6 linked regions of the Tribolium castaneum genome follow. The protein of the gene in region 5 purifies or fractionates together with the protein of the main gene of each other region. This does not show direct contact. Links are inferred from orthologs where the notes say so. Each region holds a gene or a part of one and is shown on either strand. Other genes may lie near its edges.

What was found.
Region 1: the proteins of Ada3 (region 5) and transcriptional adapter 2-alpha purify together in Drosophila melanogaster (affinity purification with mass spectrometry; 5 studies listed by BioGRID, with this or other methods). This does not show direct contact. The link is inferred for Tribolium castaneum from reciprocal best matches to the Drosophila melanogaster genes Ada3 and Ada2a.
Region 2: the proteins of Ada3 (region 5) and DNA polymerase epsilon subunit 3 purify together in Drosophila melanogaster (affinity purification with mass spectrometry; 3 studies listed by BioGRID). This does not show direct contact. The link is inferred for Tribolium castaneum from reciprocal best matches to the Drosophila melanogaster genes Ada3 and Chrac-14.
Region 3: the proteins of Ada3 (region 5) and Atac2 purify together in Drosophila melanogaster (affinity purification with mass spectrometry; 4 studies listed by BioGRID). This does not show direct contact. The link is inferred for Tribolium castaneum from reciprocal best matches to the Drosophila melanogaster genes Ada3 and Atac2.
Region 4: the proteins of Ada3 (region 5) and Mocs2B purify together in Drosophila melanogaster (affinity purification with mass spectrometry; 3 studies listed by BioGRID). This does not show direct contact. The link is inferred for Tribolium castaneum from reciprocal best matches to the Drosophila melanogaster genes Ada3 and Mocs2B.
Region 6: the proteins of Ada3 (region 5) and Spt3 purify together in Drosophila melanogaster (affinity purification with western blotting; 3 studies listed by BioGRID, with this or other methods). This does not show direct contact. The link is inferred for Tribolium castaneum from reciprocal best matches to the Drosophila melanogaster genes Ada3 and Spt3.

Annotation. Positions count from the first base shown.
Region 1 is NC_087398.1:11,844,522-11,848,779, forward strand, and holds the start of transcriptional adapter 2-alpha, read right to left. Parts: upstream 2,801-4,258; 5' UTR 2,720-2,800; coding exon 2,659-2,719; intron 2,616-2,658; coding exon 1,763-2,615; intron 1-1,762. Other genes in the region: rhodanese domain-containing protein CG4456, read left to right, coding at 3,072-3,074, 3,130-3,561. UniProt on the Drosophila melanogaster protein: Component of the histone acetyltransferase (HAT) complex ATAC; predominantly involved in acetylation of histone H4, including at Lys-6 (H4K5ac) and Lys-13 (H4K12ac).
Region 2 is NC_087394.1:1,508,981-1,511,232, forward strand, and holds DNA polymerase epsilon subunit 3, read right to left. Parts: upstream 1,018-2,252; 5' UTR 946-1,017; coding exon 675-945; intron 627-674; coding exon 517-626; 3' UTR 501-516; downstream 1-500. Other genes in the region: E3 ubiquitin-protein ligase LRSAM1, read left to right, coding at 1-213, 265-384; centrosome-associated protein 350-like, read left to right, coding at 1,367-2,252. UniProt on the Drosophila melanogaster protein: Accessory component of the DNA polymerase epsilon complex. Participates in DNA repair and in chromosomal DNA replication. Histone-like protein which promotes nucleosome sliding of ATP-dependent nucleosome remodeling complexes.
Region 3 is NC_087396.1:22,635,598-22,639,796, reverse strand, and holds Atac2 (cysteine-rich protein 2-binding protein), read right to left. Parts: upstream 2,801-4,199; 5' UTR 2,732-2,800; coding exon 2,511-2,731; intron 2,458-2,510; coding exon 2,320-2,457; intron 2,269-2,319; coding exon 2,117-2,268; intron 2,065-2,116; coding exon 1,883-2,064; intron 1,836-1,882; coding exon 1,768-1,835; intron 1,723-1,767; coding exon 1,535-1,722; intron 1,270-1,534; coding exon 976-1,269; exon of another isoform or gene 931-975; coding exon 749-930; exon of another isoform or gene 697-748; coding exon 526-696; 3' UTR 449-525; downstream 1-448. Other genes in the region: MrgBP (MRG/MORF4L-binding protein), read left to right, coding at 1-448; serine/threonine-protein phosphatase 2A regulatory subunit B'' subunit gamma, read right to left, coding at 2,848-4,115, 4,164-4,199.
Region 4 is NC_087396.1:21,505,853-21,509,474, reverse strand, and holds Mocs2B (molybdopterin synthase catalytic subunit), read right to left. Parts: upstream 2,418-3,622; coding exon 2,173-2,417; intron 2,122-2,172; coding exon 1,940-2,121; intron 1,890-1,939; coding exon 1,632-1,889; intron 1,200-1,631; coding exon 982-1,199; intron 936-981; coding exon 825-935; 3' UTR 788-824; downstream 1-787. Other genes in the region: JNK1/MAPK8-associated membrane protein, read left to right, coding at 19-231, 281-450, 501-787; Mocs2A (molybdopterin synthase sulfur carrier subunit), read right to left, coding at 2,427-2,684; Wdr92 (dynein axonemal assembly factor 10), read left to right, coding at 3,213-3,496, 3,539-3,622. UniProt on the Drosophila melanogaster protein: Catalytic subunit of the molybdopterin synthase complex, a complex that catalyzes the conversion of precursor Z into molybdopterin.
Region 5 is NC_087401.1:17,517,297-17,520,882, reverse strand, and holds Ada3 (transcriptional adapter 3), read right to left. Parts: upstream 2,303-3,586; 5' UTR 2,149-2,302; coding exon 1,971-2,148; intron 1,916-1,970; coding exon 1,527-1,915; intron 1,475-1,526; coding exon 1,305-1,474; intron 1,250-1,304; coding exon 1,146-1,249; intron 1,093-1,145; coding exon 809-1,092; intron 756-808; coding exon 576-755; 3' UTR 501-575; downstream 1-500. Other genes in the region: uncharacterized protein LOC656520, read left to right, coding at 1-37; uncharacterized protein LOC103313297, read right to left, coding at 2,468-2,647, 2,691-2,900, 2,954-3,586.
Region 6 is NC_087394.1:28,289,673-28,292,317, reverse strand, and holds Spt3 (transcription initiation protein SPT3 homolog), read right to left. Parts: upstream 1,448-2,645; 5' UTR 1,424-1,447; coding exon 530-1,423; 3' UTR 501-529; downstream 1-500. Other genes in the region: uncharacterized protein LOC103312536, read left to right, coding at 362-478; icln (methylosome subunit pICln), read left to right, coding at 1,662-1,780, 1,833-1,975, 2,025-2,368; Upf2 (regulator of nonsense transcripts 2), read right to left, coding at 2,615-2,645. UniProt on the Drosophila melanogaster protein: Component of the transcription regulatory complex SAGA, a multiprotein complex that activates transcription by remodeling chromatin and mediating histone acetylation and deubiquitination. The SAGA complex predominantly acetylates histone H3.

The sequences.
Region 1 (4,258 bases), on a different chromosome or scaffold from region 5:
GAGAACTGGATCGAATGTAGCACTATTTGCTATGTCTCATGTTTAACCAAGGTTTTCAACCAGATAAAAGAATATTTATTTTGCGAGCTTTGCAAAAATTTCTCAAAAAATTGCCGAAATATGTGTAAAGTAACTTCGTTTTTGCAAGATTTTGTTAGAACGAAATACCAATAATATCACAAAACTAAGTCAAACGTTTTTCTTGTTCGTCAGGCTACAGCTATTTGAAGAATTTTGTCTGTCAAAAATTCTTCAAAGCCTTTTAGTTCGTTTTTAGCTAAAAATTCTCTTTCATATATTTTTATTAACCTTACAATTACACCAAAAATTGTGTTAATGTTGTCGTTTTCGTATCTTTGGGCATGTTTTAAAATAAAAAAAATTGCAAAAACTAACTGAAAATCCACAAATTAAATCGAAATTGTTGTTGTTTACTTTGGATTGGTAAATTTACTACTTATTTAGTTTGGATAATCTTGCCAAAACACGTCTAAAATATTACAACATAATTAGAAAATTCTTATTTTGTGATATTTCGCCAAAAAACATTACTTTGCAATTTCACGTGTTTTAGCATTTTTTTTTAAATTGTGTTTAAAAATGACATAAAAGCATAAACCAGGAGGAGATAACACAAAAGTCGATCGTTTTTCTTGGCCAAAAAATGAGGAGTTTTGTCAATCAATCAAAAAAAGATGTTACTCAAAAAAATCACAAAATTAAGTCAAAACTTTTGCTTTTGCAAGCCGAAGATTTTTAAAGACCAAAATTAATGCTATGTTGCAGCTTTTTGTGAGCCTTTATACATGTTTTAAGGTAAAAATTAAAGTGTTTAAAAATTCTCTAGCTAGAAATTCACAGAATTAAATCTAAATTGGGGTTATTTTAGTTTACTTTGCTCAATTAAGTTCCTTTTTTGAACGAGAAATTTAATTTAATTACTCTGCCTTTTTCGAAAGTTTAGCATTTCTTCAAAAAACGTAATCACCAAATTGTTATTATTATATTATATTTTTAATTATATTTAATATAATAAAATATAAATAATAATAACAATTATATATTATATAAATAAATAAAATAATTAAATATATATGTAATTATATTCTTAACTATCATATTTTAAAGCTCGTTTTTTTAAGGTAAAACGCAATTTTTACTGAAATTTTGCTAAACTTGCTTAAAAAATCTGCTCGAAGATGACAATATTTTACTATTTATGAGATTTATTACCACGTTCATCCATAAAAACACATTTATTTCGCAACATTTGCTCAAAAAGAAGCCAAAAAAATTGCGATTAGAACGAAATTAGCATTATATTTGCTTTTTCGAGTGTTGAAGCGCCGATTTGTTTGAAAAAAATGTTAATTCTGCATTTAGCGAGTGATATAACTTTTTTCGCGAGATTTTTTTAAACCAAAACGGTTCCATTGTAAATAGCTATTTGTGCAACGAGATAGAAAAAGTGAATTCTTTCTGGAAAAAACTTACGAGTTGAACACAATGTTTTGTAAAATTCCGTGAATATTGAAGAGTTTGAGAATTTTTCATCGAATTTTACAAGTGTTTTTTTTTCCAAAATACAAATTGTATTATTTTTCGTCACGCCACTAACTGTTGAAGTATGTTTTAACATTTTTCTTTGTTTTTATTAATCTTTAGTGAACATTTTTTTCTCCGTCGTGTTTTTTTGGAACTCAATAAGCCGCTATTATGGAAAATAACCAACTTTATATTAATTCAACCGTTTGATATGAACCTAAGAATTTGTATTTTGAGTTCGCCGCTGTGGTGTAACCCCTCCATCAACATTTCGAACTGGACAGGAGTACAAAATTGCATAAATCGGATCAGTTTTTCATACACAGGACGTGTAATCGTAACGTCATACCGATGAAGCCAAGCGTAAACTTTCCGCAGAATAATCAATCCGTGTTCTCTTATGATTTTTTTCCACCTTTGGCGCTCCCTCAACCGCCGGTTATAACTCTGAATGATCGCACATTGAAGATTTGTGATCAAGTCAAAATGAGGATCGTCCTTATCAACCGGTTTAAGGTTCGAGAGCAGATCCTCAGCCGACGAATCGAACTCGCATTCGAAATCGGACCTCGCGGGGTTATAACCGGCCAAAGACTTGTACCCCACTGTGTTGGGGGAGTAGCGAGGGGGCTCATCGGTGTCGCTAATCCGCTGTCTGTAGGGCACCACCGGCTCACAAAACCAGTCCCTTTTGCTCGCCTCGGGCAAGTCTTTGGACCCCTTTCTGTCTAAATAAAACCAATCGTAGTGCGCCCTAATCTCCCTCACACTCCGATTTGGGAACTCTTTCGCCACTAAATTCCAGTTCCCGTATTTTTGTAACGACTCTAACAACACCACCTCCTCCCGAGCCGTCCAGTCCGTGTTACCCCAAACCGGAAAATCGTCGCGGATTATGTGATAATCGTGATCGTTCTTGTGCCCCCCAAACTCCGCACCTTTCGAAAAACACAGCGAACAAATATTCACTTTACACAAAGCGCAATAAATGTAAGGCGCGACCAAATCGCACGAACAATTCGAACAAACACTATCAGAGTCACTAGAGTAAAACGCAGGGGGGCCACAGTCTGAAACCTCAGTTGAGAACGAGAAGTAAACAAGGGGGCTCACCTTTGGGAAACTGCAAGTCAGCGGCGTCTTCTTCGGTTAAGTCGGTGTTTGCGTTTGCCATTTTTTCGAAAACTGTTTGGATACCACAAAAACTTAGGTTATGTGCATAGGTTATGTGAGCGGCAAGCGCTGCCTACCTGGCAAAATTTAAAGCACTAGCACTTTACTAGTGCGGTGTTTTTTGACGATTATTTATGAAATTATTATGTAATTCGAACGCAATCGGCATAAAACGTGAAAAAAAAAATAATTGGGGAAAATTTGATTGTAGCCACGGGACCTCTAATTTGTTTTGTGTGAATTGTGTGATACCAACGGTGACTGTAAAAAGTCTCCAAACTGATTTTTGCCAAAACTGTCGTAATTTAATAAAACAGGCGATAAAAAATAGTAAAAATCGCTTTATTGGCGCTATGGTAGTTCACTTTACAAAAACTAATCAATTAAGTTAATTACATAATTATTTTTTAGGTTAGGTTACCAATGTCGCTATCAAGGGGGCCCCAAATCCTCTCCCTTGTGAACAAAACGCCCGTCTTTCTTAGACTTTTCGCAACGCAAATCGCCTCATTTGATGAAGTCAAGTCAGTAAAAACGACTCCTAAGACTCTTCTAATCGATGTCAGGGAGCCCCACGAATTGCAGGAAACCGGAGTTATTCCTGACAGCATCAATATTCCACTTGGCGAAGTCGAGAAAGTGTTAAAAGACATGCCTTCTGAACAATTTCAAAAAACTTACAAAAAGGCTAAACCTGATTCTAGCACCCCCTTAATTTTTTCGTGTCGTTCGGGGAAACGTAGTGCCCTTGCGTCCGAGATTGCGACGAAGTTGGGGTTCAAAGATATAAAGAATTATTCCGGGGGGTGGCTAGAGTGGGAGGAAAAAAGTAAAAATATTTGAGTTGTAAATAAATAATACGTTATATGAGTGTAGGGGTTGTAGTTTGATTTGGATTTAGGTAGTGCCGTATTTACTTATTTACTGCGGCACAAAAGTGATAAACATGGAATGTTAAAAAATAAGTCAAAAAGAGTTTGCAATCTACAAATCTCGTCAAAAATTTTTTGAATGATAACACCTTTTGAAAGGCCTGATCACCATAAGTCAAAAATACTCACAAAAGCAAAACCAAATAATAATTTTGCATGTGTTTTGCCCTGAAGTGGATATTAGATACGATTTCTTCATTTGTTGATGTTAGGAGCATCCAGCGCCAATGTGGACACAAACACTTATTGCAAAAAAACATCAGCGCCGTTTTGAAAACAACATTTACCTACTCCATGACCCCCTTCCGTACTTTTAATAACGTGGGACAGTTTCCTCGAACTTTTCGTCTTCTTTGTTGGATTTTTTAAATGTTAATTGTCAAATTGAAAAAGTGCGCGCGCATGCGCTTTGATTTTTAACATGTCATTCAAGAATTCACTGGTTGAATCTTTTTGATTAATATAAAAGCGTTTCAATTCAATATTTCTTATTTATTTCCTCTCATTGTCCCAATTTTTGTGCCCAACATTACCTAGGGGGGTAGAATTCAGAGAAAAACTGAAGATGTGAGATGCAACAAAAACAAAGACAGACTCATTAATCATCA
Region 2 (2,252 bases), on a different chromosome or scaffold from region 5:
AAAATCACAGAAAGCGACCTCAAAGAAGTGGGAATTGTGAATAAATCGGACCGGGTCCACATTTTAGACGCATTCCAAATGTACCGAAAGGAGCAAATACCGACCGATACGGCCCCCTCAGCTCCAGTGCTGCCAATCGAAGAGGCAAGTGCGCCACCACTCGAAAATGTCGCAAATTTGGGGACTGAATGCGTCATTTGTTTGGACTCAACTGTATGTTGTTTATCTCAAATTAAGGCGAATTTTGGTGTTTTTTTTTTGCAGTGTGAGGTGATTTTCGTGCCATGTGGACACTTCTGTTGCTGTTCCCAGTGTCCTGTGACCTTGAACGACTGTCCAATGTGCAGGACTTCAATCGAACGCAAAATTAGAATAATTTCATAGTTCGTTCAACTGCCGTCACTTTTTTTGCTCAGTGTTGCTAAAGTGTGAATTCTGCACGATTTGTGGCCTTAATCTAGTCAGTTGTTACTTTTTCTCATGAATAAAAAACTATCACAAAAAATTTATTTTTTATTACGATTCTCCCGTTTCTTCCTCTTCCACGGCCTCCTCGTCGTTGTCTTCCGCCATTTCAACGTCGGCCCCCTTCTTCACTTTCTTCTTCTGCTTCGCTTCTTTGAAATCTGAAGTCGGTTTTTGAAACGTGAACATAACCTCAAAAAAAAACTAACCTCTCAGCATCACACTTAAGGGCTCCACGAATTCGTCAAACTCGAGCTCTTCTAACGCTGTTAGAATGTCTTGACCCAGAAGAGTCTTTCTGTTCACTTTTTGCGCCTCTTTGGTGGCTTGTGAGGTTATGTACAGGACAAAAATTGAAGCGGCCCTTGACAGGGCCGAACGGGCGTCTTTACCAACACTGACGTGTTCAGGCAATGCGTCTTTAATTATCTTTTGCACCGTCATGTTCGGCAAATTCAAATCTTCCAGTTTTTCGGCCATTTGGTCACAAAATTCACAAAATTACTTTTCCCACCAAAAACAAAAAACGCGCATGCGCAATGCCAACCGCCATGTTTGAATTTTGATTAAAAAATCATTAATTTGTTTATTATTGGTCACCTAATAATTATAAATTTGTGTTTTTTGTTTAATTAAGCTTGGGGGGCTCGTGACGAATGGGGTGGTTTATTTTAGGGGCTGTTTTTTGCAGTTTTGGTGGGGGGCCTTGAACTATTCACCCTTGTTGGCCTTGGTTATTGAGGTTATGTTATAAACGGTTGACGTTTTGAAAATATGTGAAAAAGGTGAGTTAATTTTGCATTTTCTCACCTAAATTAACACAAATGTGGGTCAATTCGTGAATTGTACGTCAGTCTAATCAATTTCCAGTCGTAATTCGCTAAAAAAAGGGGGTTCAGAAATGTCCATAAGCCAAGTGGAAAATGTCAGCACTCGTGTAAAAAACACAAAAAAAGAGATCGAACAGCTCAAAACCGAGCTAGAGAAGCTCATAAGTCTTGGGACCCAGCCCCCTGAGCCCCCCACCCACAAGCCAGCCCCTGATACCCAAACCGTTAAAAAAAAGGCGCCCCCCGATCCCGAGAAAAAGCCCCGCAGTTATGACGTCACCGAGGCGCGTAACTACATCAAAAAACAGCGGGAAAAACGCGCCGAACAATTGCGGGCCCAAATCAACACCACTGACAATAAACTCGATCTGAAAAAGCAAAAACTGAAAGAATTACACCAGAAAACACTCGAGCTGGTGACAAAAAACGTGCAGTTGAAGCGCGAACGCTCGAAATCGCGGGACAAGGGCGAGCCCCCTGTCCGGATCGACCGCTCGAAGGCGCGGGAGAAAGGGGGCCCCCTTGTCCGAACCAACCGCCCGAAGTCACAGGACAAGGGGGGCCCCCCGAAAATCGACCGCTCGAAGTCGCCCGCACAAAAAGTTTCTGAGGGCTCCGAAAAGACGCAAAAAAGCGAGAGAATTTCGAGGGCCAAGGCCCGGGAGCCCCAGAAATTGGCGAAAACGTCGTCTGAGGCGAAAGAGACGCAAACGTGCGACAAGGGGGCGCCCTGGCTGGAGCCCCCTTGTGCGGCGTATCCGTACAATTTTATAAACACAGTTAAGAGAAAATTGCAGTTTGCTGTGAATTCGCCCCGGAATTTTATCGACATTGGGGTGCAGAATTCCGGGACTCCGCCCCTGGAAACAAAATCGAGGGAAGAAATTAAAGAACTGTTGATTAAAAGTGCCAAAAGTGAGTTGAGATCGTTTGTTTCGCACAAATGTCTCGACTTGA
Region 3 (4,199 bases), on a different chromosome or scaffold from region 5:
GTCGATTCCGTTCCCGAATAGTGAGAAAGAGTTCACACTTCCCGATTCCGACTTCGGTTCCCTCATTGTGAAGAAGGAAGAGGACAAGAAATTGGCGCAGAAAGGGCGCGAAACGCCCAAGTCGCTCAAGGAATTGCGAAAAGATGAAAAGACTCCTGTGAGGAGCAGTAAGGAGGTGCCAAGGCGTGATAGTAAAGACAGTAAGGACAAAACCCCAGTGAGTGCGAAAAAAGAAATCAAGAAAGAGGCTGAAAAGAGTAAAAGTAAAGGTAAGAGTAATAGTAGTACACCAAGGGAGGAAAACAAGGCAAAAGCGAAAAGTGACGACACACCAAAACTGACGAAGCGCCCTACTAGAGGCAGCTCTAAACCTGACGATTCCAGTTCGAGTGGTAAATCTAGTCCAATCACAGTCACACCACCAGTGACAAAAAGGCGACGCATTTAGTTTCTTTCTCACTTTATTAAAATTAATAAAAAGTGCCTCAATAAATTACGTAAAACACGATGCAACTCGGAGCAACATCACCTCTCAAGGCGGCAGAAAAACGCATGTTTCGATTCGCTTGTCTCGCGTAAATACTTATCATAAAAATTCAAAACGACTGCTTCCACCTTAAAACCGAACTTTTGGTACAAAAACAAGGCCGGGTTGTTGATGGACACGTGTAGTGTGATATCTTTGCCGAGACTTGTCTGAAATAATTAATTAACCAACTAGTTTAATAAAAATCGACTTTTCAATTACTTGGATTAAGTGATACAACATGAACTTTCCAATCCCGACGTTTCGCCATCCTGGCCGTGTAAAAATAAAAGAGACGTAATTTTCGGTGTATTTAACATTGGGGACGAGGAACGCAAACGCCACTATTAATTTTTTGTACAAAACTACGCAACTAAAATCCGGATATTGCAAACTTTCAGTTACTGCAACAAAAAATTAAATTGTGTTGTAACATTTCGGACACTTACGATCGATTCCTGGCCAAAAAAAGTTGTTGCAGAGACTGTTAATGGCAGGTATGTGCTCAGGTTGGACGTAGGTGTAGTCAATAGGGGCCCTTGGAGGTAGAACGTAATTTTGTGTTTTTTCGTTTGCTTTCATTTGTATCTCGGCCATTAGGCGTAGCCAGGATGGATAAGTTTCTGTATCTCTTCGTATGTAAGGTTTTAAATAAATGCTGCTGTAAGGTGAGAGAATTAGTTCTTTTCTGATACCACCCATCAACCTGACTCTCATTTCGCTTCCTTTCTGCCTAAACGCGTCTAAAATTATTTTTGGAGTAAATTCTTAAGCCCTGGGACTATGGGGGACCAAAATATTTGGTGGCATGACGAAAAATCGAGCAAATTTTAAGCGCAAAATAACCTTTTGGAATTGGTACTTGGGCAGATTTTTTTATTCAATTATGACCTTTCTTAACTTAACTTAATTTCTCAACTTTTTCAATAAATCAGAATCTTTACAATATTTACAAAAATCTCGTCTTGCCTCCTAGCTTTAGTCCTGCACACCTCTCACTTGACTTACTGCTAAAGCAAGTGTTGTAGTGACAAAACGGGTCGAGCAATTTCACAGACTCCTTATTTTGCTCACTTGGGGGCTTATTACGTGGCTGAGCTTCGCCCAAATTTCGCTCGTTTTGTTTGAGATAAGTTGGCGTTAATTCATCACCTAAGTTTGAAAAAACCGGCGAGTTTTTATTCATTTTTAAGAGTCTAGAATTGCATTGTTATGTTGTGACTTTGAACAGAAAAACTTACTTTTTGGACGTGCTCTCAAATGTTGGTAAAAGACTTTTTCTTTTATTTACGGTAAAGTTTTTAGTAATCTACAAACAATGGATGATTTGTAAGTTCAAAACGTAACAAATTGTACCTTTTTATTGGTTTCATCGTCTGGATTTTTTTCCGAAAAGTTGGGAACATCGACAGTGAATAAAGGCGTTAGCAAATCATCGTCTTTGATGTTTTTGTGTAAAATTTGTGTGAATAATTCAGTGTCTGAGACTGATATTTTTAAAATTTTCGTTTTTTGCTTCTCGTTCGTGAGAGCAGCATCTGGAATTATACTTTCACTCCTGATTTTTTAATTATTATTTCACTCAATTACATAAATTTGAAATTACGTTAGGGGTGAGTTTGGGGTAGGTGAGGGCCCACCAAGCCGGTTCATTAACGACCGAAGTCCCCGACTTGAAAAAATACGTACTGAAGTGCGATAAAGTCCCAGCAACGGTCCCAACCCATTTTTTTTTCTTTTTACTACAAAAACCAACAATTACAAATATGTGATAATCAAATGTTGGAACTTACAAATCCTTCAAAAACAGACTCTCCCAGTTTTTGTCGATTAGTGACGCTATGTGGTTCCTCCAATGGAAGTACCCCTTGCGCCCCAAACCCGGACTTCGTGACTGCAAATGATACAAAGCCAAAACTAATACTTTTAACCTAAAAGAACTCGTCCACGGAACGCCCTAAATACCTACTACATTTCTAATTACCAAGACATTTTCTCCCTAACAAACGACTCGGACCCGGCCTCCGAACATTCCTCACAAGTGAATGTGAAAAAAATATCGCCGTGAAGCCCCCCAGGCACACAACCACTTTTGAGACACCGCAAATGAACACTTTGCGAACATGAACTGCACGTTAGGCCTTCGTCGAGACAATCTTCCAATTTATTTGTGCAATATTTACAGATTTTGCAAGTTTCGCTCATTTTTGGATTGTAAACACAACCTCACTTCGAGATTATTGTCACGTGATTGACGTCCATAATGGCGGGTTTTTGAAAAAAATGGACGAAAATTATGTAAAATTGCATTTATTGTAACATCAGTCTTGGGAGGGCTCCGCCGTGACGGCCTCTCGATTCTCGTAGGCCCAAAAGCGGTGAAACTCGATTAAAATACTGACAAAAGTGTCCCCTTGCCCACAGGCGATTAAATCATTCAGGGTGATTTTTTCCGGATCTTTAGGCCTGACCATGTCAAACAGTTCGTCTTTAACGTCCTCAAAGGACACAGCTTCGGCCCCATGGGCCCTCATCTGCTCCTGAATCGCTCGGAAAAAATAATTTAAAGTGAAAGAGTCCAAGTAGCCTTGATTATTTATGTCTAAGATGCGGAACAAAAAAGCAAGAGCTTGTGGTTCGGCACGATTTTCCAAAGCTAGTACTAGATCTAGATAAGTTTTGTAGTCCATTTCACCGGAATAAGTCAAAAGCGTTTGAAAAACGCGGTCTAGAAAGGGCTGCGTTAAAGTCCCAGAGCCATAACCCGCAAGTTCAGATTTATTCAACATTCCGTTGTGATCACGGTCAAGATTTAGATAATGTCCGTAAATACGTAACGTTGAAGGGGCACTAAACCAATTTTGTTCCTGCACCTCTTTACTCAACTCCTCGTCCCTCAATTCGAGTAAATCATCAAGGAACGAACAAGCTAAAATGTCTAAAATCCGCACACGACCCGCACGCACTCCATCGAGGAAAAACAGAAATTTCCGAACGGCCGTACACACGTAAAAACTATAAAACGACTTTTCCAGTCCCTCAAGTTGCGGCAAAGTTGGCAACAACTCAGTGATATAATTCTCCAAGTCGATTTCAGTCAAGTAACCCTGTCCCGTACTATCATACAGCGATAACCCGATCCTGGTCTGCTGTAGCCACACTTTACGCATCACGTAGTTAAAAAGCGACATGATCGAGACTCTGCCCTGGGGGTCACCCTGTTGGAGCTTCGCAAACACGACCGAAGTGAAGTAGGGCTTGACTTTGGGCCCCACCAGCGTGACCACCTTCTGATAATCGGAGTACGTTATCAACTGTTCCTCGGGGTAGCTCTGGTTCTGGTCCAAAATCACCCACAGTTCCTTCAATTCGTTGTTATCCAACAAGTTTTGACTTTTACGTTTCAGTAAATTGGAGCGGCTCTCCTCGCGCAGTTTTTGCCTTAGGGGCTCATCTTCTTTCGGTAATTTATTGTAAAAACGCGGAATGCCCGTGGTTTCGTTCGGTGGTTTGTCACAATATTGCTTCATGTAGTGTTGGAAGTACTCGTCTTCTTGTTGCTCCAACTCGGGGGGCGACTTTTTCGCACCTGGCAAAATTACCAGTCGAAATTTTAACTAAATGAATTAATTTTTACCTCCACTTTTCGTTATTTTTTCCCGCAGTAGTGTTT
Region 4 (3,622 bases), on a different chromosome or scaffold from region 5:
CTTCACTGTTCGTTGTAGCTTCAAAAAAGACGTCCTAATTTTACACTTGACTGCGCTGGTGGAAGTGGTCATTTCGGGGCTCTTGTCGGTGCTTTTCACGCACCCGTTCGGCGAGTTCCAGGTGCGGAACTGCAGAGTGCGCAGCTTGGCCGATTGGTACACTTTGTTGCATAATCCGGCCCCGGATTATGAGAAGAGGGTGCATTGTACCCAGGAGGCTGTGTATCCCTTGTAGGGCTACTAATTGATTATACTACTTTATTGAGTGTTTTTGTTTTAGGTATACGCTAGTTTTTATTTTTTATGCCCTGACTTTGATTGTTATGCTTTTGATAAGGCCATGGGTTTGCCGGAAATACCTTCCAAGGCAGAGCAAAATGTCGATTTATGCCGCCATGTACTATATACCGATTTTGGTGGTGGTCCATGCCCTAATTGGGGGACTTCTTTGTACGTAATGATTGCGCCAAAAATCACACTTTTGATTGGTTTTGTTCCAGATTATGCGTTCCCAATTTTGGTCGTTATTTTGTCAGTTATTTCGTGTGCTTATCACTTTGCCCTCAAAATCAACCAATCGATTCCCTCACTCATCATAACAACAGTTGTAGACCCGAGAAATGTGGTAATCTTAGTGGGCCATTGGTGTTTACACGCCTATGGTTTAATTTCAATAACTCAGCTTAGTGACCCGACTTTTCACTCATTGTTGCTACTGTTGGTCCCACTGCCGGCTTTTTTTTACATTTTCACGGCCAGGTTTACCGACCCGACAATATTTACGTAATTTATTTTTTAATAATAATAATAAACTAAAAACAGATTTATTTTTTCTCCTCCTGAACCTTCCGCTCCAAATCGCTAATTAGCGAATCGATTTCCTCAACTGAGAAAACCTTCTTCTTCACAAATCTATTGTTTAAGTGGCTTTTGTCCTAAAAATTTCACTAAAAAGGGAGGGAAATCTCTCAAAAAGCTTACCCAAAAATTGATATATTCGGGCGAAATCGTTTCAAGGAACAATATCCGGTCTTCTAGTTTCTTCAAACGGGTGTAGATATTTTTCGGGGTTGGGGTGGTCAAACTGAGTTGGATTTCCAGGTTTTGGAGGCGCTCCTCAATGCCGTTTTGGGGGATGTATTTGGTCAGGTAGTCCGAATTTGTTTGGTCGCGGTGGTAAGTGTTCAAAACCCGACTTACTGCAAAAAAATTAGTCTGAAATACTTGTTTTTCGAAAATCGTCCGAAAAGTAGCACTTTTCCCCGACATTTTTTGCTAAATTTATAGAGGGTTAGTCTGTTAAAAATATATTTCTCGTGTTGACCGTGCAGTTTCTTTGCTCTTTTTTTTCAGTCAATTTTTACTCGGCGCCATGGCCTCCTTGATGTATTATTTTTAACGAAGTTGTCTGCATACATCAAGGAGGTCATGCTCGGCACATTTGTGTCCTGTCCGTAAAGTCTTAATTTTTTCGTTAATTTTTTTATTTTCAGATAAAAATGTGTTCTCTAAACATTAATGAAAAATGTCTGGTGCCAAATAGAATAACCCTGTGCAGTTGTATACTTTTAGCAGACTTGTAAAAATTGGAATAAAAATCGTAAAATTGTGATTTTTTAAGGGCCACGAACCTTGCAAATGGCCATTGGAGTCTTTGCGTTTTTGCAAAACCGCATCGACTCGGGCGCAAGTGAACTCTGAACTTCGATTACTTGTGCAAAACTCTCTCACATTGCTTATGTTGATTTCGTTTCGCTTCATCTCCATAAAATTCTCGATTCGTTTGCTCAAGTCCGCGTTTGAGGCCTTGATTTGAATCAAATGGGGCGAAACGTTGGGAATTTCGACTTTGGGCTCGATTTCGAGCTTGAATTTTTTCGGTTTGGGGGCTATAAATGAGAGCCAATCAATTTTAGACTTTATTTACTTGACCACCCACATTCTTTATTTTCCTTCCACTGTGGAGGAGTTTCAGTTTCAGCGTAAATCTCCTTTTTCCAAATAGGCACACTCTCTTTAACCTTGTTGATGCACCAGTCGGTGGCTTGCAGCGCCTCGGTACGGTGGGGGGACGCGATTGCAATTACAATGCTAGCCTCCTTGACCCCCACAACCCCCAGTCTGTTAAACAAAAAAAAATCAAAATTTGGCCCCAATTTAAATTTTTCAAACCTGTGATAGATTGCGATATTTTCGACTTGAGGCCACTTGGCCCTGATCTCCCCGCACACTTTTTCGAGACACTTCAAAGCCATGGCTTCGTACGCCTCGTACTCCAATTTAAGGACGGTTTTTTCCCCGAAACTGTCTCTGGTGGTCCCCATAAAAACCGAGACTGCGCCACATTTCGGCGAGGCGACTAGATCAGTCAACGCCTCAACACTTAGCTTGTCTTCGGTGAATTTCAAAAAATTCATTTTGGGGCCCTAACCGCCACTCAGAGGTGGGATTATTGCTACTTCGTCGCCCTGTTTTAACACAATTTCGACACTTTCCACGTCGCAAAACTCCTCATTGAGGGAGAGAATAATGTTTTGGGCAATTTCGGCCAAAAAATACGTGCCGACGAGTGTTTCTAAAAGCTTTTTGTAGGAGATGGGGGACGGCAGGTCAAGTTCGGCGGATTTTTGGCCCACGATTTCTCTCGATTTAGCGAAAAACAACACTTTGACGGTCACTAACATATCATAGTGTTGTTGCGCTTACATAATCACCGAATTGAAGCAAAATAATTACTTTTATCACTACTCTGTTTATATTTGAAACGACATATTTAGAGCGCAAGTTGTCAAATTTTTAACCTCACTTTCTTACGAATAAAATGCAATTAAAAATCTTTTTTTCGAATGCTTTGGAAGCTGTTTCCTTTTTTCCTGACAAGAATGCTCTAAACCTAATTTGCTGGACAAATTAGTTAATAATTTGACTAATTAGAGCAATCCTTAAATGTATTGCTAATTGTTTTTTTACAGCCGTAAAAAAAGGTCCCAATGGCTGTTTGTCCGAACATGATTTTTTACAGTCGAAGGCCCTAACGAAGGGCTTAATTTCCTGCAAAAATAAAGAACATTGCAGGATATAACGGGGGTGAAAAAAAAAAACAAAATAATTAAAAACGTAACGAGAACAGCTTGTTTTATTTAAACTTGGGCAATTATTGCCCCCGAAAATGCGCTTTGCTATGACAACAATTGTTTGATCAATCAAACGTTATGGAGTCGCTCCAAAGGCCCCAAATAATCTGCCACGTGCAGCAAGCCCTGAACTACACCGTCCACGACGTCAAGTGGATCCCCTGTTCCGCGAAATTCGTCTCAATCGGGGGCAAATCAAACGGGGCTGGAATTATCGAGACCTACTCAATCAGTGGTGATGGGATCGAAAAAGTGGCCGAATTCGGCAAGAAAGACCACTTTAAATGCGGCACGTTTCACGCCTCGAGTTTAAGAGACCGCCACCTTGCGACTGGCGACTTCAGCGGGCGGTTACAAGTCTGGTAAGTCGTCCAAAAGTTGGCCAAAATTTTTAAGTCTCGTAGGGATTTGGAGGAGAATTTAATCCCGATTTATAAGACGGAGAAGCACCGCGGGGTCATTAACGCCATTGATGGAGTTGCGGGGGT
Region 5 (3,586 bases):
ACATCGCGTATTGAATTTGTATGTTGACACAATGTAATAGTAATCAAAATTTCAGGACAAAAAAATCCATGATGATAATCATTTGTATAGAATGTAAATGTGATAATTTTGTAGGATTAAGCGATATATTTTTTTTGTTGTTGTTCTGTTGCGTCATATTTATTACGATTTGTTTTTTATATAAATATTTAGGGAAAATCAATTTTAGCCGTTGGTAGTATTCATGTTCGCAATATACTTTTTTTATAGGTTAAGTTCATCTCATCGCACAATTGTGATTGTCAGGTTGGCACTATTGACTCATTCGTTTCATATACCACCAGTGGTGCCAATTTGAATATTCAAAAGAGTGATTTTTTACCAACCAAACGAAACGAAAAAAGCATTTTTTGATGAATATCTCTCCCAAGTACAAATTGATTTATCGGTGTTTTTCAATTATTTAATTAGGAGTGTTAATTAGACAATTGAGGAAAAAGAAAACAACTCTAAACACCAAATACCAGACTAATTTGTAAATTAATGTGTCAAAAATAATAATAATAATAATGTAAGACTTAAAACTGGTGTTTTTTTTATTCCTGCAATTCCGCCAAAGCTTTCTGAAACTTAAACTGCGTTTCCAACAAGACATGTGTCTTCACTTCAAATTCTTTCAAACTTTTTGTAAAGGCGGCTTTATCGAAATCTTCATCCTTGGCCTGCTGGATTTGCTTCTGTTTGGTCATTAACACCTTATTATAAACTTCCAAAACCTGAAATTTTAGGTGTTTTAATTTTGTTACCATGGTAACACCAATCAACAAACTTCGCCATCTACTACATCCAGAGCTGCTTTGATTTCTTGCCGTTTCAAATCTTTGACAACTATAGCTTTCAAACGTTTCAATTCCTCAACATTATACTCATTGACAGCTGTCAATTCTTGTTGACATTTTTTTATTTCTTGTAAAATCTCATCGTCGGGCATTGTTTTAGATAAATCCTCAACACTTAATAATCCTTGTTCGACTAAATCTTTCTTAAGGCGGCGATCCATACATATGGCAGCACGTGGACCACCAGCTGACTTGATTATATTCAAATCGGACGCTTTAAAAGTGAATTAAATGAGTTTGAAGTTACGACAAATGTGATTTTATTACGTTTGAGTTTCCCAGTAACACCCGGAAATGACGTCATCACTTTCTCCTCAATCAAGGCGGCCAATAGGCGTTGAGTTTTCGGGTTTGAAAATGAATCAACCATTCTATTGATTGATTGTAAATTTTTTTGAACTTTATGACTTGATAAAAAATACTTACGCACTCAAACCGTTCTTTTTCAAATCAAGGCCAACTGTTTTAGAGGTTAGCCCCAATTCTTGTTCCACTCCGGTTGCATTATCTGACCACTCATTGGCGTAATATTCGCCCAAATCGGGTATTTTTACATCAATTTCTTGCGAACATTCCTCGATTAATTTATCGAGGAACTAAAATTTTTTTTGTTAATACATAATTATAAAATTGAAAAAATCAATCAACCGTAGCGTGTGAATTCGTAACGGGGGCGCAATAGGGCTCCACAGTCGCCCAAAACTTATCCGAAGTATCATTCTTGGGTAAATTAATTTTGGGCATTTCATGCCTCAAGGGCACATCCACCGGAAGTGGATAATGACGTTTCAGGGGGCGTGCGCCCCCTTTCAAATCACGATACTTGGCCTTATCATCGGGCCGTTTCCGTTTGAGCCCCCCTTTATCATACGATTTGCCCTTTTTGTCTCTTTTTTCCTCAACTCGATCAATCGATTCGATTTCGCCCCTTAAAAACCGGTTACGCACAGCACACGTCGAAATTAACTTCTCAAGGTCGAGTTGAAGTTGATCAAGGTCGTCCATGTTCACTCCATCGTCTTCGGTGCGCCCCAAAACTAAAAACTTGCTCATTAATCAAAAGGGGCAAAACGTTAGGTTAGGGTTGATTACTGGATGAAAAACGGGGCAAAAGCTTCGTGTTGTCGCATTGACGGATCAAAGGGACGGTGTTTATGAAGTTTTCGGTGTCAGGAGGGATGGAGTCGTGACGGGAGGACGAGGGGGCGTCTTTCGCTTTGCCCCCTCGGGGGGCGTTTTTTGACATGAGGTGGCGTTTGGGGTTGTTCATATCACGCTTTAGGCACAAAGAACATGCAAAATGTTAATCATCAATGTTATTTTAGCCAATTTCACACAATTTTGTTGTTTGTTGACAATCGATACATAAAAATTGACACTTGAATTACAGGAAACTGTAAACTAAATCGAACATAAAGGGGGAAAATTTAATACGTGTTTCCGAAACGTAGGGCTTTATTTACTAATCAAGTAGATACACCTGGAGGCACAAATAATTATTAATTGATTACTGGACGCACTGAAACGTGATTAAATATGATTAAGATTTGGGCAGTACCATGTATCAAAAAAAAAACGGTGCAAAATTTTTATTGATTTCGAATTTCTAAAGGCGGGCGATCAAAATGCCGTATATTCCTCGGCATAACCATGTCATGTTGCCACTTGGCCACATCTTTCATGTAATTACAAACGGCCAAAATTAAATTTTCGGGGACTTTCGGCCCGATTCCTGGAACTGGATCCACGAACACATCCTCATACTCAATCTAAAACAATTATAAAAAAAAATTTCCCACTTTTTTTTTCTACTTCTGGCGCTTTTTCCTTGACGGACGGTTCACTTGTCGACGTTTCGTAACTTTTAAGTGACTCATTAGTGAAAATTTCACTCTCAATTCGTGTTTCAAAATGTTCAGGTGCATCAATTTGTGATTGAGTTAAACCAGCTTCAGCTAAAATACTAGCTTTGAATTTCTCAACTTCGTCGTCACTTTCACCCATCATGGCTTCCTGTAATGACTAAACCCGAATTTATTTCGGGGAAAAACCTAGTAGACTAGTCGGTGAATTACCCGAAGTCTTGCCAAATCTTCCATAAGATAAGTGTCTTGTTTCAAATCCTCTTCATCTTTCTTCAATGATTCACTCGGTGCTGATGACATTCGCGTACTTTTCGAAACAAGGTCATCTTCAACCGGAAATTGCGGAATTTTTTCGTCTTCAGCCAACTGTTCCGGAAATTTTTTTTCGGAAACAGCGACCGATTCTTTACGTTCTTCAACTTCTTCTTCTTTCACTTCTTCATCAACAGGTTCCGTCTTTTCTTCTGTTTCTTCCTTTATTTCTTCGTTGCTTTCTTCAAATTCGCCTTCGGCTCGTATTTTCATCAACAATTTCATGTAGTTGTCCGGATCCTGACTTGTGACACTTGGACACGAAACAACCGAACCCTCATCGTCTTTTTTCGTCTCCCTTTCACTTTTTTCCGTCACTTCGGACACAATCTCGCTCATAAAATCCGTTTCGAGTTCCTCTTCCACCGGTTTTTCCCCTGAATCTTTGGCAATTTTCTCGCGAAACAATTCGAGAAACTTATCCAAAAAATAGTAATTTTTCAAAGTTTGTGGCAACGAAGCATCAATTCGTGCTAAAAACTCATACAAATCGAGAAAAGTCGATAGAGGAATCATTGCAGAGCCACCTTC
Region 6 (2,645 bases), on a different chromosome or scaffold from region 5:
GTTGGGAACCTGATAATGTCTCCCTATTTAAACATTTTTTAAATTACGTACAAAAAAGTACAAATGACGATAAAACACACCAAAGTTAAGTAATTTAAATTATATGTTAAAATAAATGCCTTACACAATTTAACCATAGGCAAAAACATCTGATAAACATTAAAGAATTTTGAAGAAAGTATTAAAATTTATTTATTTTAAAAATACATAAACACATTAAAATATTGCACGGTTAGCAGTGACTTTAGCTCTAAGATTAGTTTCGAAAAAGCACAATTAATAAAAACATTAGCACAACAATCCAAATTATAAAAAATAAGTGAGAGGCTAACTTGACTGACCCCAATACCTTTGTTTTCAGAGTTTGGCGAGAGAAATTATAACATCGGTTGCTTCAATATCATCTTGCATAATCTCTATTTTTTTCGTAAAAAATTTGTCGAGAATGGATTCGCTGCACATAAATTTTGCAGCGTAATATTTGGATAAATAAAAGACCGTTTAAAAAATTAAACTTTATTAGAACAAATTACAGAGCAAATAGATAATGCGTGTCTGGTAGTTTTCCCCCGAAATTCAGCTTCCCTGCTTGCGGACAGTGAATTCTTCTCATAACTTCTTTAATTTCATTGACACTAATGGGGGGCTGTCCACTGTAAACCCTGCTATAGTCTGGATTGTTACCACTAGCCCCTATCCTATAATCCCCATTAAACATCGTAGAAGTGTAGTAATTGCCGTATAAATGATTCAGTGGATCACTCCCACATTTGCCCTCCATCCTCACAAGCAACGCATAATCGGTTATCTCAGCAACTGTCTGGTACCCCAAATACGACAAAACCACCATAGCATTAGTGCTGAAATTAATTTCCTTTTTCGGGTCAATCCACTGTCTTAATTTTTCGGAGTTTCGGGCCGTGATATCTCTACTGCAAAACGAGGTGGCTCTCGCTTTGCAAAACTCCAAATACCTCTTCTCGTCCAGGGCTTGAGATATGCGATCAGCCCTCAGCATCCTCGACTGTTTGACTTCATCAACTTCGGATAAATCGGTGAATTCTCCCGTCTCGTCTATGTACTCGATAAACTTCATTAGCTCGTTCTTCGGTATGGGATCTCTGTCAATTTCAATGACCCCCGAGTTCAACGACTGGAGTTGCTGTTTGAGTTGCTTGTTTTTCAAATATTGGAAAAAGCGGCGCATTTTGTGCTTATTGTGCCGCATTAGGAACACCAACTCCTTGCCTTTGAGGTTCTTACCATCGGAGTACTTCAGCGCTTCCTGGACGATCATGCGGAGCTGCTTCAACACGATGCTCTCCACCAAACGCACCGTCTCGGGGTTCGGCTTGTGGCTGTCGCCGAACCCAAACATCATCAGCGAGATTTCGTTACAAAAGGTTGTTTTTTGGGAATCCATCAGTTTTTGTCAACAAACACCTAACCTCAATTGACAACAAATATTTTCCCCACAGAATAACAGGTTTTTTTCCCCAATCAAACACAGCCGGTTCAAAATACCAGCCCGTGATTGGTCCTTAGCTCACAACGCCGCCAAAAGAAAATAAAAATCCCCAAGTTAAACGTCAAGCGCCATAGTTTGTGGTTACAATAATTTTGAAAAATAAACACGTTTTGCGAAAAAAAGTGGAGGAAGAATGGTTGTGGTCACGTCGTTTAAACCACCAGAATCTCCTATAAGACTCGAGCAGTCAAACGTTGTGGTGATTTTGGATAAACGTGATCTGGGCACCGGAACCCTATTTGTGAGCGAAAGGTAACACAATTATGGCAAAACCAAACGAAAAATACATTGTGTTAAATTACAGGACACTCAGTTGGCAAAAAGACGGGACTACGGGTTTTTCAATTGAATATTACAACGTCTCGCTCCATGCGGTGTCCAAAGACCCCAACGTGTGCGAGAGGGAGTGTATTTATATTTTGACTGACCCCCACATAAATTTGTTTGGTTTGTAATTTTTTGCGCAAAATTTGGTTTATTGTGCGTCGTTTTGTAGGAGAAACTGACCAAAGGCCCGCAAATGATGACAGTGACGTTGAGTCAGAGCCAGACCTCTCGGAGCTGATTTTAGCCCCCGAAAACCCCACACATGTACAAAGTATTTACGAGGCTATAAAAATTTGCCAAGAACTCAATCCCGATCCTGCCGATGTTGACGACGAGGACGATGATAATTTATTCGCGGACGCAGAAGAAGAAATGTTTATAGAAGCAGAGTCTGAGCAGATTGGGGACGCAGTTGTCGACAGTTTGGCCGAAAGGCTACAAAACAACTCAGTCGACGTCCAGTACAGCTACCGGAATGGCAACGAGGATGAGGATTTTGAAGATGCAGACTGATCCCTGAATTATGTTAGGTTTTGTATCTTTAATTTTAATCCATTTTTTATAAAACACTGACTAGTGAAAAGGTTTTATTCCAACAGAAAACAATGTTGAACGAAACAAAAAATGAAATTCCTTGCTTCTCCTTCACAATTCTCAATTCCGATAGACTAAAAACGAAACAATCTATCTATTTCTGAAACATTCTGAACTTCTTTGACCCTTAATCGTATTCAACCATTTCATCCTGAATTCCTCCCATTATCTAACTCTCTTAGGTCCAAAAATCAGG